Linked DNA regions of Schizosaccharomyces pombe. Changing the gene in region 1 together with any one later gene gives a genetic interaction. Each region holds a gene or a part of one and is shown in the gene's direction. Other genes may lie near its edges.

What was found. Genes that interact genetically often act in the same process or in processes that back each other up.
Region 2: mutations in ypa2 (region 1) and mph1 together harm fitness more than expected from each alone (negative genetic interaction), as found in Schizosaccharomyces pombe (2 studies listed by BioGRID).
Region 3: mutations in ypa2 (region 1) and SPOM_SPBP4H10.17C together harm fitness more than expected from each alone (negative genetic interaction), as found in Schizosaccharomyces pombe (2 studies listed by BioGRID).

Annotation. Positions count from the first base shown.
Region 1 is NC_003424.3:4,760,539-4,768,936, forward strand, and holds ypa2 (serine/threonine-protein phosphatase 2A activator 2), read left to right. Parts: upstream 1-3,889; 5' UTR 3,890-3,910; coding exon 3,911-4,969; 3' UTR 4,970-5,204; downstream 5,205-8,398. Other genes in the region: SPOM_SPAC1782.02C (uncharacterized protein), read right to left, coding at 1-113, 214-348; splicing-associated factor Saf3, read left to right, coding at 1,269-2,336; cox24 (mitochondrial 37S ribosomal protein mS38 ), read left to right, coding at 2,541-2,697, 2,740-3,110; prohibitin Phb1, read right to left, coding at 5,428-6,276; qcr8 (ubiquinol-cytochrome-c reductase complex subunit 7), read left to right, coding at 6,572-6,603, 6,793-6,810, 6,856-7,069, 7,173-7,187; exonuclease Rex3, read right to left, coding at 7,369-8,398.
Region 2 is NC_003423.3:371,794-376,792, forward strand, and holds mph1 (dual-specificity protein kinase Mph1), read left to right. Parts: upstream 1-2,000; 5' UTR 2,001-2,095; coding exon 2,096-4,132; 3' UTR 4,133-4,499; downstream 4,500-4,999. Other genes in the region: F-box protein Pof13, read left to right, coding at 566-1,756; srx1 (sulfiredoxin), read right to left, coding at 4,669-4,999. UniProt on the Schizosaccharomyces pombe protein: Involved in mitotic spindle assembly checkpoint signaling, a process that delays anaphase until chromosomes are bioriented on the spindle, and in the repair of incorrect mitotic kinetochore-spindle microtubule attachments.
Region 3 is NC_003423.3:2,906,678-2,910,439, reverse strand, and holds SPOM_SPBP4H10.17C (carboxyl methyl esterase), read left to right. Parts: upstream 1-1,819; 5' UTR 1,820-2,041; coding exon 2,042-3,067; 3' UTR 3,068-3,262; downstream 3,263-3,762. Other genes in the region: SPOM_SPBP4H10.19C (calreticulin/calnexin-like protein), read left to right, coding at 1-198; SPOM_SPBP4H10.18C (uncharacterized protein), read left to right, coding at 609-1,553; SPOM_SPBP4H10.16C (phosphatase activator), read left to right, coding at 3,316-3,762. UniProt on the Schizosaccharomyces pombe protein: Demethylates proteins that have been reversibly carboxymethylated. Demethylates the phosphatase PP2A catalytic subunit.

The DNA of each region.
Region 1 (8,398 bases):
AACAGGAAATTGCTTTGTAACAATGAGATAGTATAAATCATTCCAAGAATCAAAAATACCAAGCCGGACAATGCAAGAGTCGATAAGTTGTCTTGTGTTACTATCAATGGTTTCTAAATTATAATGGTCAGATATCACTTCAAACATTAATCAAGAAATTAAAAAAAAAAAAAAAATACTATCTACTAAAACAATAAAGTTATAATCACATACAACTTCCATAGAAGCACCAATTAACGCGACCAGTCCACTTTCTACTACAAACTTGGGATTCCATAAAAATCCAATGCCAGCAAATGTTAGCATACAACAATAAAAAAGAACTATCGCTCGAAAAGAGAACAACATCGTGAAATCAGAAGACGACAAATGAGCAACTATTAACTTCTAGAGACTGTACTCCGTGGTTTAGAAAGAGAATGTAAAACTAATAAGTTTTTTTCGGAAAGAAAATGTAGAGAGTTTCGATGAATATTTCGTTCGTACTTTTGTTTTCTCAACGTCGCACCAATTATATGCACCTGATTTTTGCTATTTTACGGTAGTATCAAGCTCTGGGAAGTATGTACTCTCAATTAATGGTTATATTACGATAGTTGAACTTAACTTCACTATTGTTGCTAGTTGCCAGCGCTCGCTATCTGTATTTAGAATTAGAAGGTGAATTGAATTGAGAAATATAATCAATATAACAAAATTACAAGTATACGTTTGGTTTTATTTCTTCAAAGTTATTTTGGTATGAAAAAGTGAGATGCTGACAGATTTCAAGTCAAGAACTCTATATTTTTTAAAACCACTTCAACGAATTTTAGGATCTTGAAAAGTACATCATTTTTACTAATTATAGGAGGGTATTTTCAAAGGATATATTGTATGTAGCATCTAAATAATTTTTATGAAGGTCTCAAAGGGTTGACAACGGTTGTTTTTGGAAATACATTACATTGACCATAAACTGAAACGATGTATTTTACAAAAGGCAATTCAATTTTACAAACTTTCAGCTAAATATAAATTATGCCAGGATTCTCGTTCATTTGACTAGAATGTGTGCTTGTGATATTTGTTCTCGCATTGGTAAGTGCCCCGAAACCTCTTTGTAAGTGGCACCGTACCACAAATTGCATACATACAATCTATTATATCAGATATACAGTTTTATCTTGGGTGGTAGATAATAGATATATAATTTCCAATTCATATTTATATTGTTTTACCGGTTGATTGAAATTTGCCAACCAATTTAATAAAAAGCGTTTGTCAAGATGCCAATAGATACACCGTTGATACCCCATAAACCTATTTCAAGATATCGCTCTGGTAGATTGGAAGGGCTGGAAAGTGAGTCTTCTTCTGAAAGTGATTATGAAGAAGTTTCCGATTCACATGATCAAGAAAACTCGATTTCTTCATCAAGACATGTTATTACTCCAGTATTCGAGAAAGAAGGAATATCTGAAACCAAAACGTCTTCTAATTTCCAAAACATTAACCCAGTCCAAACAATTGATAACTCTGCTTCAGAATATGAGACTGACGCATCATCGGCAGAAGGGGGATCTAACTCTGCAGCATCTAGTTCTGAAGAAGAAGACTCTTCTGATTCGGAATATGAGATGGAGCTGAGAAGGCGGACACTTCTTCTTCCGCCAAAATTTACTAGTAAAGTCATCAAAAATCGGGCAAAAGCCAATGAAGAAGATACTGAGGTGCTTAAAAAAGTGACTTCACAAAAAATATTAGAAGAGACTATAAAACGGGAATTACTATTGAAAGAAACTAAAAACAATAATGAATTATTAAATGATATCGATGATACCGATGGAATTGATCCGCAAAGTGAATATGAATTATGGAAATTAAGGCATTTGCTTAGGAAAAAGAGAGACAAGGAAAAGTCACTGGAATTAGAAAGGGAAAAGATGGCAATTGAAGAAAGAAGATTAATGAATTCTGAGGAACGCGAAGCCCAAGATTTGAAGGACGCTGAAGCAAGTCGGAGAGGAAAGAAAAAGTCATCTATGCAGTTCTTACAAAAGTACTATCATAAGGGTGCATTCTATCAAAACGAAGATATTGTGAGTAAAAGAGATTATTCAGAAGCCACAGAAGGGGAAGTTCTTAATAAAGATTTATTACCCAAACCTATGCAAATTAGGGGAGATCTTTTTGCGAAGGCAGGCCAAACACGCTGGACGCATTTGGCAAATGAAGATACTACAAAAGAAGGATCTGCTTGGTATGATCCTAAAAACCCAATCTTGCAAAAAAATTTGCATCGTCTCGGTGGACTTCATTCTGACAGCCCACTCTCGAAGCGAAAACGTACCTAACATCTGTATATACATAAGGACAATTTTGTATTTCATTTAGCATTAATTTTATTTAACATCACATATATATTTAAATACAACATTCTTCTGAATTAATATCAAATGTGCACCACCCTTCCTCTTTGTAAGTGTTTAGCATAAGCATACCAATTCTTACCTTCCCGCAGTGCAAAGAGTACAACACATTTTTCGCCTTGGTCACCCATGTTACGAAGAGGTGCGCTTTCCACAATATTAAAAGGTTTAAACGGCCTTTCACTGCGTAGTCCCATACCGATTTGGCATGTTTCAGCTTCTCCCGAAGTTGGGTCGAAATATAACCTACCAACGGTTCCTACAACTTCACACGTTTCATATCGTCGTAAGTAAATTAAATACTTCTATTTCTAACTTCATTGCGTAGAAATCGCAAAAGCAAATTTCTTTGCTGGATATCGACCTTTGTCAGCTAATCAAATATGTGTGCCTAAAGTTGAGTCCAAAACACAAGTTTCGCAATCGCAGGATGAGGAAGATCAACCCCAGGAATATGTGTTATCTTTAGAGGATGGCTATTTGTATGCTCAATCATTCTCTGCATCTGGATCCGTAACTCAAACTCAACCCGCTCGTATATCTACTCAAGTATGGGAACAAATATGTGATAAGCTGATTTCTATTACACCTTTAGATTTGACCAGTGTCAAACGAAAAAGAAAATTGAAAATGAATAAACATAAGTTCAAAAAGCGCTTACGCCGACAACGAGCACTTAGGAAACGTCTAGGAAAATGAGATTATTAGAACTTATTTTTACTCGGGTTATATTTTTAGGTTGGTTGGATTGAGAGTTTAAGCTGTAAACAAGCATTTTCAAAATGGCTGCAAGCATTTATGAGTCTCTATTTTTAACTTGGATATCAGTACCTCTCTTTTCTTAAGAAACGTTTAATCATTTAATGTTTACTTCAGGCTTTTTTAACAAGGAATACATTTTCTCTCATGTATATTCTATCCTTTAATGTTCCGGTATGAGACAATTAGGTCGGTGCTTTTTTCTTGCGATAAAATCATTAAACAATCCGCGTTTATTTAACTATTTTCAAAAAGCGGAGCACTTATTTGTTTATGCCGGCTATCTCCTTCATATCAATTAGCTTCCCATGTCTAGTACTATTACAATACCTCCATCTTTGGCCCTTCCTTTTTATATTTTTAAATATTTGTCGATGGCTAGAATTAATGACATGTACACTTCATGTGAATCATAAATATGTTGTTGTATATCAAGCAATTAATAAACGCTTATTACACTGTATCTGTTTACACATAGAATAAAAGAACACATTGGTATGAAAAATAACTTTAGTAGTCGAAATTATTTCCTTAAAACAATTTTGAAAAAAAAAAAAAAAATTTCTACATTTCTTTCTTTAAAAAATGTTCTCACTGATTATAGCTAATTACAATAATGAAATGTAACGTACTGACGACTGACATAACAAATAACAACATAAGGAATATTGAAGAGCGTCCAACTGTATAATTTTTAAGGCTTTTGTTAATCTTGTCTTAACCGATCAAGTTATGCCAACATGCTTTCTAGAGAAGAGCAAAACCGGTGTTTCGTTCCTGTCCGACGAATTTTAGACAATGAAGACTTAAAATTATTTAAAGAAGGAGATGCTTATAAGTTAATTGATTCGTTTATTTGTGATCTTGACGAAGCTGTGAAAGACAAGCCTATTTCAGCTTCAATTCCGCAAAGCTCATCAATAGAGCATGTATTAAATATACTAGATCGAGTTGGAGAAATTAAACAGGAAAATCCTGCAATTGATAATATGGGGTCGAGGTTTGGCAATCCTGCATTTCAATCATTTTACGATCAGGTATACATTGAAACACCAAAGTTGCACCAAGTATTTGGAATTGAGCATAATGCGGCGATGGAGGCAGGTCGATATTTTTATGAAAGCTTTGGAAACAGAAAGCGAATAGATTATGGAAGTGGTCATGAACTTTACTTTATGTCATGGTTACTAATTTTAAAGCAACTAGGCATTTTTACTAAAAATGATTATCCAGCATTGGTCGTTCGAGTTTTTGTTAAGTATGTTGAATTGATGAGGTCTTTGCAAATTTTTTATACTCTCGAACCAGCAGGATCTCATGGTGTATGGGGATTAGATGATTTTCATTTCCTCCCTTTTTTGTTTGGTGCAGCTCAGTTGGTTAATCATAAATATTTGCGTCCCAAACATGTTAGAGATCCAGAAATTTTGGAGATGTGTCGCGCTGATTATATGTACTTAGGTTATGTTTACTTTTTAAATAAGTTGAAGCCTTCTGTTTCACTACGTTTCCATTCTCCAATGATTGACGATATTTCTGCCGTAAAGACTTGGTCTAAAGTCAACGAAGGCATGATAAAAATGTATAGAGCAGAAGTTTTGGGTAAACTTCCTATAATGCAGCACTATCTTTTTGGCCATTTAATCCCAGCTTCACCTGGGATGTCTCCTGCTCCCCAAGACGGTGATGATTCTGAGGTGACACATGTTCATTCTCATTATGCTGACTGTTGTGGCATCAAGATACCAAGTGCGATCTCTGCTGCCAAAAATAATGGAAGTAGGATTCCGTTTGATTAAAAATTCTCGAGGGAAAAAAGGCGTTTTTAACGAATCTTCACGAATTTATGCGATACCCATATTTGTCTGTTTACTTTAAAAGTAATATCTAAAGTCAATAAAATTACCAACAGTACAGCATATTTGTTTATTTCATTATGCTAAAAAAACTCTACATAAACAATCAACCCTAATTTTAGCAGCATTAATATAGCCATTTCATCAGCACAAAACCCAAAATAATTGTCGTTTTAAAAATAAGGTGACAAATCATAATTTTGAGTTCTGAAATAAAAAAATTTGGAAATATTTATTTTCGTTAAGAACCCAAATTTGTCAAAATCATAATGCGTGGAAAAGTACAACTTTTATATAACATCTCTTTAATTTTAAAGGGATAATAAGATAAAGCTGATATGTTTAGGGGAGCTCGAATAAACCTTATGAATTTGCTGCTAGAAGCAGATACATGGAATGAATTAAGGATTTACATTAAGAAGCAACCCAGAACCACTGGAACTTTGGGCATTAGAACCAGCTCCAAAGGGAAGATAAGTGACCTGTGCACCTTTATTAGCAAGTGCAGTAGCCACCTCTTTACTTGTCTCGAGACGACGAATTTGGATTAAAGCGCCACCGGCTTTATCAAGTGCTTTGGAAACAATATCAGCCGCTTCTGCTTCACCCTCAGCGCGAATAACATTAGCTTGTCGCTCTTGTTCGGATTGTTCTACTAAAAATCTAGCACGCTCGGCTTCTTGTTGAGCAATTTGTTTTCTCTCTACGGCTTTCGTAAATTCTTTTCCAAAAGTCATATGAGTAATGGATACATCTTCCAACCGAATTCCAAATTCGGTAGCTCGTTGAACTAGTTCTTGGCGAATTTTGGCAGAAACTACTTCTCTTTGAGTAATGAGCTCTGCTGCATCAAACTGAGCAACTACGGATTTTAAAATTTCGTTTCCAATAGAAGGTAAGACACGCTCATCATAATCTAAGCCTAAATTTTGGTAAATTTGAGGAAGCATTCCAACTTCGGGACGGTGTAATACACGCAATGTTAAAGAAACCATCTGTAAATCTTTACTACCCGTAGTAGTTGCGATATTTCGTGGACGTGTGCGTACATCATAAACAATTGCCTTTTGTAACCATGGAATCAAAAAGTGTGTGCCCTCCTGAACAACCTGTTTCTGCACACCCGACAGACGGTCAAACAAAACTGCTCTTTTTCCCCCCGGTACATCGTAAATCGAAGATTGTAATAGAGTAAATCCAATACCTATTGGTATTGCATAACGTGCAACTCTCTCCAGTACTACAGCCATCTCTTTAATAGTACGTTGAGCGCTGGACTAAAAGACCAAACTGAAAGGGAAGTCCGTTTGAGCAAGACTAAGTATGACTTAACTGCAACCTCTAGGAAAATCTATATTCATGATTAATAAATACATGATCTTATTATTTAGAATTTTAATAGTAAAACTAAATAAAAATCTTGAATAAAAAACCAAGAATTTGTAAACGTCTGAATTATTATTGGTCTAGCAGACCCGCACACTTACCCTTAACAAACATCTGACTTTGTAACGGCAATCATCAATATATTATTGTTTTAACAAAATGGGTGGTGCTGCTGGAGGAAAAACTTATTTGTAAGTGCAACTTAAAGCAGTTTCTGTTTATAATGGGTTATATGACTTTTCTTTGACGCTTATAGCGTGAGACGGTGGACACAATTGGTGTTTATTTCGTAAAGCCATTTTCGTCAGCGAAGTTATATACATTCAAATAGCTGCTGAGAATATCATTGAACGTTTTTATTTATACTAACACATGAATAGAGGATGGTGGGGCCATCTGTAAGTGCTATAACAATTTGATACATTTTTACTTACTTTAATAAGAGGTGGACCTAAACAAAAAGGAATCATAACATATTCCCTTTCCCCATTTCAACAGAGACCAATGGCCGGCTTCTTCAAAACTTCTACGCAAAATATGTTTCGTCGCGTCATGACTGAAGGTCTATACGTAGCAATTCCGTTTGGAATAGCTTACTATATTTACTGTTGGGGGAAGGAGCGTAATGAATTCCTCAATTCCAAACATGGAAGACACGTAAGTTAATGACTGAAGAATCGATAAGCAGCTATGGTTTGCAGCATTTTTCTATACTTCTAAATTGTGTCAATAATTGTCATTTTACTAATATGTGGTTTAGTTGGTGGAGGAATAATGATGAGAATGAAGTATTCATTTTGGTAGAAGGATTTACAAAATTCTTCCCTACCCTTTCCTTATTGGGTTTACAATTACTATCTCTCTCCTCTCATTATGCTTAGTATCAGAAATCTATATATCCAACAAAATTACTTTGTGATATGATCTATCTCTTGAATTTGAAAACATTATTACTCTTAGTTTTGACTTTCATTTGATTTTGTCTTATAAAAGACAAGTTGTAATGCTGAAACAGCGTCTTCTTCGCTATCGTGTGTAGAAGTTTGTATTGTTGTTCCCAGATATTTTTTAGTCAAATATTTTAAGGAATATCTAAACGGCGGGCCTCTGGCATGCGTAAATAGAAGAGCAGTATCTATGACACGTTTGTGAATAAGCCTCATCGCATTCAAATCGTTTTCTAAACCATGTCCTATTAAAATTGTATTTTTATTCATGCCAAGTTCCTTTATTTTAATATACATTTGATCCATGGTAATTCCTGATTCTAATTCTTTGGCATCATGTATCCCGCTAAATCGAGTATTGAGACTCAAAATTTTGCCTTTAGGCTTTATAAACACATCCATAATAATGCTTTCCTTTGCTACCACCGTCAAACGAGCCAATTCCATCCCGTTCGTAGTGTAGCATAGTTCACAATCTAACGCGCAATGACTTAATTGCTTGCTATTTGTACTGTCTGGTAAGTAGGAAAATGGATGAACGCTAGCAAGATACGGAAGATGTCGGTATTTGAACACATGGTTGTCTTCTATAATACAACCAGACGAATCGCCCTCTTTTACACCACAGCAAGTGTATGTACGAATCTTCTCCCCCCCTTGCTTTTCACGAAACAGTTTTCCCCAATGATATGTACATGGTCCTCGAGGATCCGCAAACCGTGTACCACATCGATCGCATTCACGAAGTTCATCTGGCGGGTTTACTGGTGCAACGTCTCCAATATTATATCCCCATAGAATCAATTCTTCTTCCGAATGAACAAGTGACTCAAGTTTCTCATCAGGAGTTGATCCTTGTATTTCATTTTTCTTCGGAGCTTTCTTAAGAGATAAAATTTTAGACTTGCAGGAGGAACTGTATATCATTTTACTGTTTGCAGTTTCACAAATATTTTTTTCATCGAGAAGAGCAAGCATACTACTTTCTGCATTGGAATAGCCTAAATCCTTGTAAGACTCATATAACAAATGTGTCATT
Region 2 (4,999 bases), on another chromosome or scaffold:
CAAGAAACCCAATGCGCCTTTAAGTGTGAATAGCTACAGCAATCAGCAAGTCAAAGCAAAACGCATTCTTGTCTTTAAAAGAATTTATTTTAATCAATATAACAGTTGAGTTTGGGAATAATTCTAGAGAATGAAGATGTTGTTAGCAATCCTCTTTTCCTAAAACACCCTAACCTACTCCATTTCGTTGAAAAAATAAACCACTTCCCCAATTCTATGATTTTGGGATTTTTTTTGGGACTATATTAGAGAATTTCTTGTTTTATATATATCAACAGGAGCTCATTAACGTCAACACTTGAAAACAAAAAGTATTTGTCAATTATAATTATCACGAGGTTCATTATTGATTTTTCCCGAATAAGATTATCTCCAACCAAGAAAACGGAATCTTTGAATCTAAAAAAACACATTCTTTACGTTTCTTAACATTCCTCGGCATAAATTGTTCTCTTTTGAAAAAATCGTTAGCAAAAGAGTTGCTGAATCGCAAACAAGCTACGAAAATTGCATTATCTTAAAAGAAATTGTGTAAATAACAATTTATAAAGTATTTCGGGACTTTATGAGGCCGACACATTGGTCGAGTAATCAGTGCGAAGTGGATTTTACAGCTGAAGCTCTCACAACCCTTTCTTTGTCAAACCGGAATCATGAGGAAGATCCAATTCAACCTGTGTTAAAAAATTCCAATTTATTTCTCTTGAACAGAGACATATGGTCCTTGATCATTAATTATCTTGATGCATTCGATATATTACGCCTGATGCATTCAAGTAGGCAGTTTTACTATTGGCTTCGTAAATCAGCTGTCGATGAATGCTGTTTTAATAACAATTTTCTTAATTTACAACCTTATCAACGTACAGTTCCTGTTGCCAGTGATTTAGAATGGGCTACTGAAGTTGATCTCTACGGAAACCCACCAATTTTAAAACTCCAACTTCGCGATTCATTTGTCTGGTCAATGCTTGCCAAATTCCAGGGACTTCAGACCATTGCTTTAGACGGAACAGGTGTTACCATTTCTAGTGTAACGAATATCTTGCTGAACATTCCTACCGTTAAAACCTTGAGTATAAGATGGTGTGTTGGTGTTTGCTCTCTATCTCTCATTGAGTTTCTACAAAATTCTAAAAGCAGGACATTTTCATTGGAAAATCTATACGTCCTTGGTGTTAAAGGATTAGAATTACTAAAACCTGTTTTGCTTGATGGCTCTGAGGATGACACATTAACAAGCAATTGGCATAGTCGAGTAATTTTATTTCAAAATGCTTTAGACGCTTTACCAACTACTCATGGTAACCCAGTCGAATGCGATATTTCACGTTGCCCTTTGAATGCATGCAAAATTGCAGGTCAGGAAACTGAGCTTGCCGATCTTTTTTCTTTGCAAAAAGTCCCTGCTTGTATCTATTGCTTAAGGGAATGGAAGAAGCCGATTTGTCGTTATTGCATAGATTTAAGAAGTTGTTTGGTTTGCGATTCATTTGTCTGTCCTTCCTGCATATCGTTGGATTTTGATTTGCAAATACAAGCATTTGCTCGTCAACACCGTGTAATATCTACTTTAGGTGTTGTTTATCCTGAAAGAGAAGACTCTTGTTTCCATAAGATCAAGGCCGCCCAATGGCATCAGATCAGTCCTAGAAGTCTTTTGTTCCAATTCCAAGAGCAGAACCATATTCACCACAAAAAGATTCGCAGGAAGCTGTTAGCGGCTGGATGGAAATGGCCTCAATCACAGATATAGTAAGGGCAAGGCGACCTAGGTGAAAAAACTTTTTACTTTCACAACTCTTCTTTTTCTTTCATGACTAGTCTAATAATGATCTTATGCCATTCTTACTCAGAATTTTCGTTTTCATAACCATGCGAAACTCGTAAAATAATGATATACACTGAAGTAGCTAGCATTGCGTTAGAGGGTGATCTTTGTAGTAACATAACATTTTGAAATGTGCACACTAATGGTTGCTCTGCTGTTCGTCTTTTCTAGCTATTCTTATAACGAAGTAAAAATTTATTGATTAACGCTTAACAAACAGTTGGAAATTCGGTTTGGAATGCTCGTTTTTTAGTAACTGTGTTTATGTCTAAGCGCAATCCTCCTGTGACTAATATCGCGGACTTGGTGTCAGATTCTTCCTTAGATGAAGACTCGCTTTCTTTTCTCGAAGAGCTTCAGGATCCAGAATTATACTTCAAAAATGACACTTTCTCTTCCAAGAGTAGCCATTCTGATGGCACCGTTACTGGGGATACGTTGCGTAGGCAGTCAAGCGGTGCAACTGCTTTAGAGAGATTGGTCTCACATCCTCGTACTAAAAATTTTGATTTGCAAGGAAATGGAGGACAAAATTCTGCTTTGAAGGAAGTGAATACTCCAGCATATCAGTCAATGCACCATTTCGAGCATTTAATAACACCCTTGCCCTCTACTAATGCGTCTCACAGTGAAGTTTCACTCAGTGCAGGAGTGAATGATCTCAATTCTAATTCGGAGCATGATTTGTTACCTAAAAGTGTAAACAAAACCCCCGGTTCTTTATCAATTTCAAGACGACGAAGAATCGGCAGAATTGGATTAGGCCCTCCAAAGCGTGCTGAGTACACGTTGACGGATCCCTCGAAGACTTCCGATACCAAAAACTCTACAGAAGCAGATGAGGATATTGAAATGAAATCTCGAGAAGTATCACCAGCTTCCAACTCTGTTGCTGCAACAACTTTAAAACCTCTGCAGCTGCATAACACTCCTTTGCAAACATCCCAGGAGCATCCCAAACCTTCTTTTCATCCTTCTCAGTTTGAGAGCTCTTTTTCTCCTAGGGTGCAGTTTGATCACGATGTTGAAAGAAGAGCTAGTGAACTTCATTCTCGTCCAGTCACCGTTTTCCAAGAGCCTCAGCGTTCTGCTTCTCAACCATATGAATCTCATGCTCTTTCTCCAAAGGTGGCTCCGTTATTTGATAACAGTCAAGCTACTCCCATACCCAAGCGTCAGCAGGACGTTGTTACTGTTGCCAATCTACAATTTATCAAATTAGGAGTTGTTGGAAAGGGTGGAAGTAGTATGGTATATCGCATATTTTCCCCCGATAACAGTCGTTTATACGCTTTGAAAGAGGTGAACTTTATTAATGCAGACCAAACTACTATACAAGGATACAAGAACGAAATTGCATTATTAAGAAAGCTTTCAGGCAATGATCGCATAATTAAATTATATGCTGCCGAAGTTAATGATACTTTAGGGCAACTCAATATGGTGATGGAATGCGGAGAAACGGATTTAGCAAACCTTTTAATGAAAAACATGAAGAAACCCATTAATCTTAATTTCATCAGAATGTATTGGGAGCAAATGCTAGAGGCGGTCCAGGTAGTTCATGATCAAAATATAGTGCATTCGGATTTGAAGCCGGCCAATTTCCTGCTTGTAGAAGGGAATTTGAAGCTGATTGATTTTGGCATTGCCAAAGCAATTGGTAATGACACCACTAATATCCATCGTGATTCCCACATCGGTACTATTAATTATATGGCACCTGAAGCTTTGACAGACATGAATGCTCACACAAACTCTGGCGTGAAACTCGTAAAGTTGGGCAGGCCCAGCGACGTGTGGAGTTTGGGATGTATATTATATCAGATGGTGTATGGGAGGGCCCCGTTTGCTCATCTAAAAATGATCCAAGCTATAGCAGCTATCCCTAATGAACAATATCACATTCATTTCCCCGAAGTTGCCTTACCTGCTAATGCTGTCCAGGAGAAAGAGGGATCGTTGCCAGGTGTAACTGTCGGGCCTGATCTAATGGATGTTATGAAAAGATGCCTGGAAAGGGATCAACGGAAGAGACTTACAATACCGGAATTGCTGGTTCATCCCTTTTTAAACCCTTTGCCATCCTATTTGACACCTTTGGCCAAAAAGCCGTTACCTGTTTCTGGGCACACCAATAATGCTCATCCACTTAGACTCAGCACAGAAATCTCAGCTTCTCAATTATCAATGATTATAGAAAGGTCGGTGGAGTTGAGTAAGCACAAGCGATTAAATAAGGAACTTATTGATAGCATGGCTTATGATTGCGTTAGCAATTTACGAAAAATGCCAGAATAGAGGCACTAAATTTTCCGATTATTCTTAAAAAGGTTTTATCTTTTACAAAGTTTCCCAAACATCATACGAGTTTCTTAATGTTAACGACTTTTTTAGGGAGCTTAAAGGCTTTTTTTTTTTAATCTTTAATTTTTCGCTCTTTTAAAAGAAGGTAATTATGACCTTGATTAATGAACCACATATTATATGGCCCCTGATATCTATACTTTGATACTATGTAAATATAAAGAACGCTATACTCCCAAACGCTATAAGTTGTTTGTTTACGATATAATACCTTTTTGTGTTTGTTTTTTTTAGGTAAAGCAACCAAATGAATGATGCTTTTTTATAAGAAACTTTTTTAATATAATTGGGTTATATTAGACATTAAAAAAAAACCCCATAACTAATGTAAAACAAAAACCTTTAAAAATAATGTACCGCCGGTAGAGATGATTATTAACGCCATAAATGTTGGTGCAGGAAGGGAATAAAACAGGTTCAATGGAATATCGATAATCCTAAAAAAACTTGTGAAAAAATCTAAGTTAAATCTAATCACTATCCAAAAATTTATTGGCAGAAGCACCCAGATACAGGCGTAGAGTGTTAGGGGAGCAATTTACCAATTTGCAGCGAACCTTTTTGCGCCCTGCTTCATCGTGAGCACGTAGTCGATGACAGCCCCCAAAGGCAAAATAATAAGGCTTCCCACTCTTTTTAAACGTTAAAACATCAACAGGAGGAAGCTCACCAGCTTCCAAATCTTCTGAAGTCAAACCGCATGAAGCTGGAGGAGTTTTCCCTGTCATGGTTTCCATCATACTATTGACTTTGTTCATATCTAAAACAGGAGGTATAGGACGAATTAACTCAGACATATCA
Region 3 (3,762 bases), on another chromosome or scaffold:
GTTAGCACGATTTACGGAAATTTCAAAAACTTGTACAACTGTATCAAAAGAAATACCATTGGTTATATTTACAACTCTATTTATGACTTCTGGATCACTGAAGGTATGCTTTTCCCAATGAGGAATATGGATATTTTTAAGATCACAGCTATATCTATTGGGCTTAGTATTCCGGTTTTTCTATGGTTGTTAAAATAATTCCCATATGGAGCATTTTGTTCTACTTTCTCATATATATTTTGCAGATGTGATCCCTATGATTTTGTATGGCTATTCATTTGAATACTTTCAATGAATGTTTTCTCCTGAAAAGCCATAATGTTCGTTAATGTAATATTATTATTAGACAAGTTTATTTTATTTAATTTATCATTGTATTTTTTTTTCAAGTTAATTTTTCAATTAATGGTAATTATCTTGCTAATTTAATTACTTATTTCACAAAAAAATATATGAATACATTTATTTTCTTGTAAATCCAATGTTGATTTACTGGAATCTACTTTGTGTTTATAAATAAGTCGAGTAATTGATTGTACGTTAGTATTCAGCTACAGCTGTTCATTTTTCGATTATTGGAACTATATTCACTACCACCATTAACTAACATGGTGGCCTCATTAATTAAACGAGCAAAAGCTACATCTTTACGAAGTTTATTTCAAAAAAATGAGATGAATTTCCAAAGCATTAGATTTAATATCCATCAATTTTCTACCCAACCAGCTTTACGATCCGAAGGCTCTGAATTGATTTTTGGTGGACGATCTTTCGATTCATTGCTTTCTTCCATTAAAGAAACAATGGAAGAGAAAAAGAAAAAGAGTTCTTCTTTTGAGAAAAGGGATAAACGGCGTGTTCAGCTAAAAGAAAAATCCCCACTTCGCACTCCGCGTAACAGAACACAAATAATCGATGCCAGATCAACGAGGAAGGATACCGAGAACGAGAGTCTGAGGAAAAATAATTTTAAACGAAGAACACAGTTTGCATTTACTGGAAGAGCCACTAAGTCCAATGCTGGTGTTATGGATGTGCAATCACCATCTACAATGTCCACATCAAAGAATAATGTAAGAAATGCTGAACGTCCAGCATCAAAAAAGCCCGTATTTGGCAGCAAGAAATATTTTGACGTTATTAATGACAGCAACGTTGAAAACAAGGAAGAGACTAAGGATAGGAACTTAGATCGTGCTTTATCTAAGTTTACCCAATCCAGAGAGAAAAATGAGCAGAATCTTTCAAGTAAAGCGTCAGTTTTAAGAAACAAAAAGTCAATCTTGTTAAAGAAAAGAAATCAAGATGAAACTCAACTGACTACTGAGGAGGATTTTTCTGCCAATAATGATTCTACCGCAAAAATAGAGACCAGTATCCACGACCACAGAGATATTTCTAGAATAACACCTTTTGAACTTCCTTTTGTTAATCCAAAGCTGTTTGCTAGCTTTACTCCAATGTCGGTAGCTCTACCAGCTGGACGATTACTACTAATTAAACAGTTGCAAGAGAAATCTACCCAATCATCTTCTATGACAGGTCTCAAATAAAACCAGCTTATTGCCAAAAGTAGATAATACATTCATCTACTCATATTTTTGTCTCATACTAGCATAAAAAGTATAAATTAATTATGATTTTCAATCTTACTTTTACCATTGTATTTTAGTCACATTTGTCTGTAAGGAAAAATAGCGTTGGTGTAAAGCGAGGTAACATATTTAAATGTTACGTCGTTAATTTTTTTACGTAGGCGATGGAAGGCGTGTAAATCATTTGAGCATTGAGGAATCCGCAGTAAGTACAGGAAACTTCCACTGCATATTATTTACTCAACTTAGCTACCTGGGGAATACACATTGTTTGTTTTAAAATTTATCGATTTCAGAATTACATTGAATTAATTTTTTTTTTTTTCAATCAGGTCCGTTTCTGCTTCTGGGATTGTATATTCTATCTTCATAAAACCAACGAGGAATTCGTGTGAACTATTTATAGTGCTGCGTGTAAGCTAAAAAAGATATTATAATACTTTATAATGGCATTTCGTAAAGAAGAACTCAGTCAAACACTCTATGAGAATGAATCTGAGCAATCATCCGAAACCAAGGAACTAATGTTAAATAATGAAGAGAGTTTAAGCGATTGGCGAAATTACTTTGATGAAAAGTTAACAATTCCTGGTGAAAGTGGGGCTTTGAATGGGACTATCAATGGGTACTTAACACTTCCACAACCAGATGGTTGCTTACTTGTTTTGCAACACGGTGCTGGCTCAAGTGCCATGTCATTTGCACCGGTTACACAAGAGCTCTTGAGTAATTCAGATAATAAGGTTGGTTTTTTAGCGTTGGACCTTCGAGCTCATGGAGAAACAACGTTAGAACCCGAATCAGATATGAGCTTGGAAACATTATCTAAGGACTTTACTCACGCAGTCTCCTATGTTCAACGTATGTTTGAGCTTGATGAAAAAATCATTTTGGTCGGACATAGCTTAGGAGGTGCCATTTGTGCTTACTGTGCTTTTCAAAAAACTATTCCCAATACTTCTGGACTTGTTGTCATTGATGTGGTTGAAGGGACTGCGATGGAAGCATTGGGTTTTATGAAAACGTACCTCTCTAATCGTCCTACTAGCTTTAAATCAATTGATGATGCAATTTCTTGGCATATCAAGACTTTAGTTACTAGAAACAGATTATCGGCCTGTATTACAGTTCCTTCACTTCTCGTTCAGCAGGAAGATGGCACATTCGTTTGGCGAACCGATCTTTACAAAACATCGCCGTATTGGATGGACTGGTTTAAGGGTTTAAGTGACAAATTCCTAAGAGCACCATATGGAAGGATGCTTATTGTCGCTGGTACCGATCGTCTAGATAAAACGTTAACAATTGGACAAATGCAAGGAAAATATCAACTTGAGATTCTTCCTGAAACTGGTCATTTTGTTCATGAAGATGTTCCCGCTAAGATTTCCTCTCTACTTTTAAATTTTTGGCATCGCAATCAACCTTTGGTTTTACCTCCCAAAGTTGGTGCTACTCCTGTTCTACAGTAATCTTAATGATTTAACGAACTTTATTATACACTAAGAAAAATGCGTTATATAGTGGAGTATGTATGGTCATATAACGTTGTGCTGTGCAGGTTGCGTAGGCATCGATATCAAAGGCACCGCTTTCATAGTACCTATAAGTACGTTGCATTCGCATATATGATTGTATCTTTATTTATCATTACCCTTGATTAAAAAATAATTTATTTTATTGAAACTTCTCTTTTAAACACTCGAATTTTTGTGCCTTCATGTCTGTGATAACTCAGGCTCAGGAAATACCTACTGTAGCAGCCAATCCCGATTTCAATTATGAAGGAGATCCTATTATTATTCAATTATGCGATCGTGACACAGTATTTGAATTGAGTAGAGATCAGCTTTTAGGCCTCCCGGAATCCATCTTGATGTGTTTATTTCCTAGAGGCCTGTTGTTGGATTATGAGATTCAAGAATGCCAACTGACTCAAAGGCCATTAATATTTCAAACAGCTGACTTTGATCCTTCATTACTTCAGTACATATTAAATTATTTTCAAATGGCCGAAAATCGTACCGCTAATGATGAAATTGCATTATCACCACCTCCACCTTCTTTTCCTGGAAAATGTGGTATAATTCTGTTAAAAGAAGACATTGAGTTTTTTATCCTCCCACCCATTTCACCAACCACCAATATTGCCATTGAAGTTAGTCCG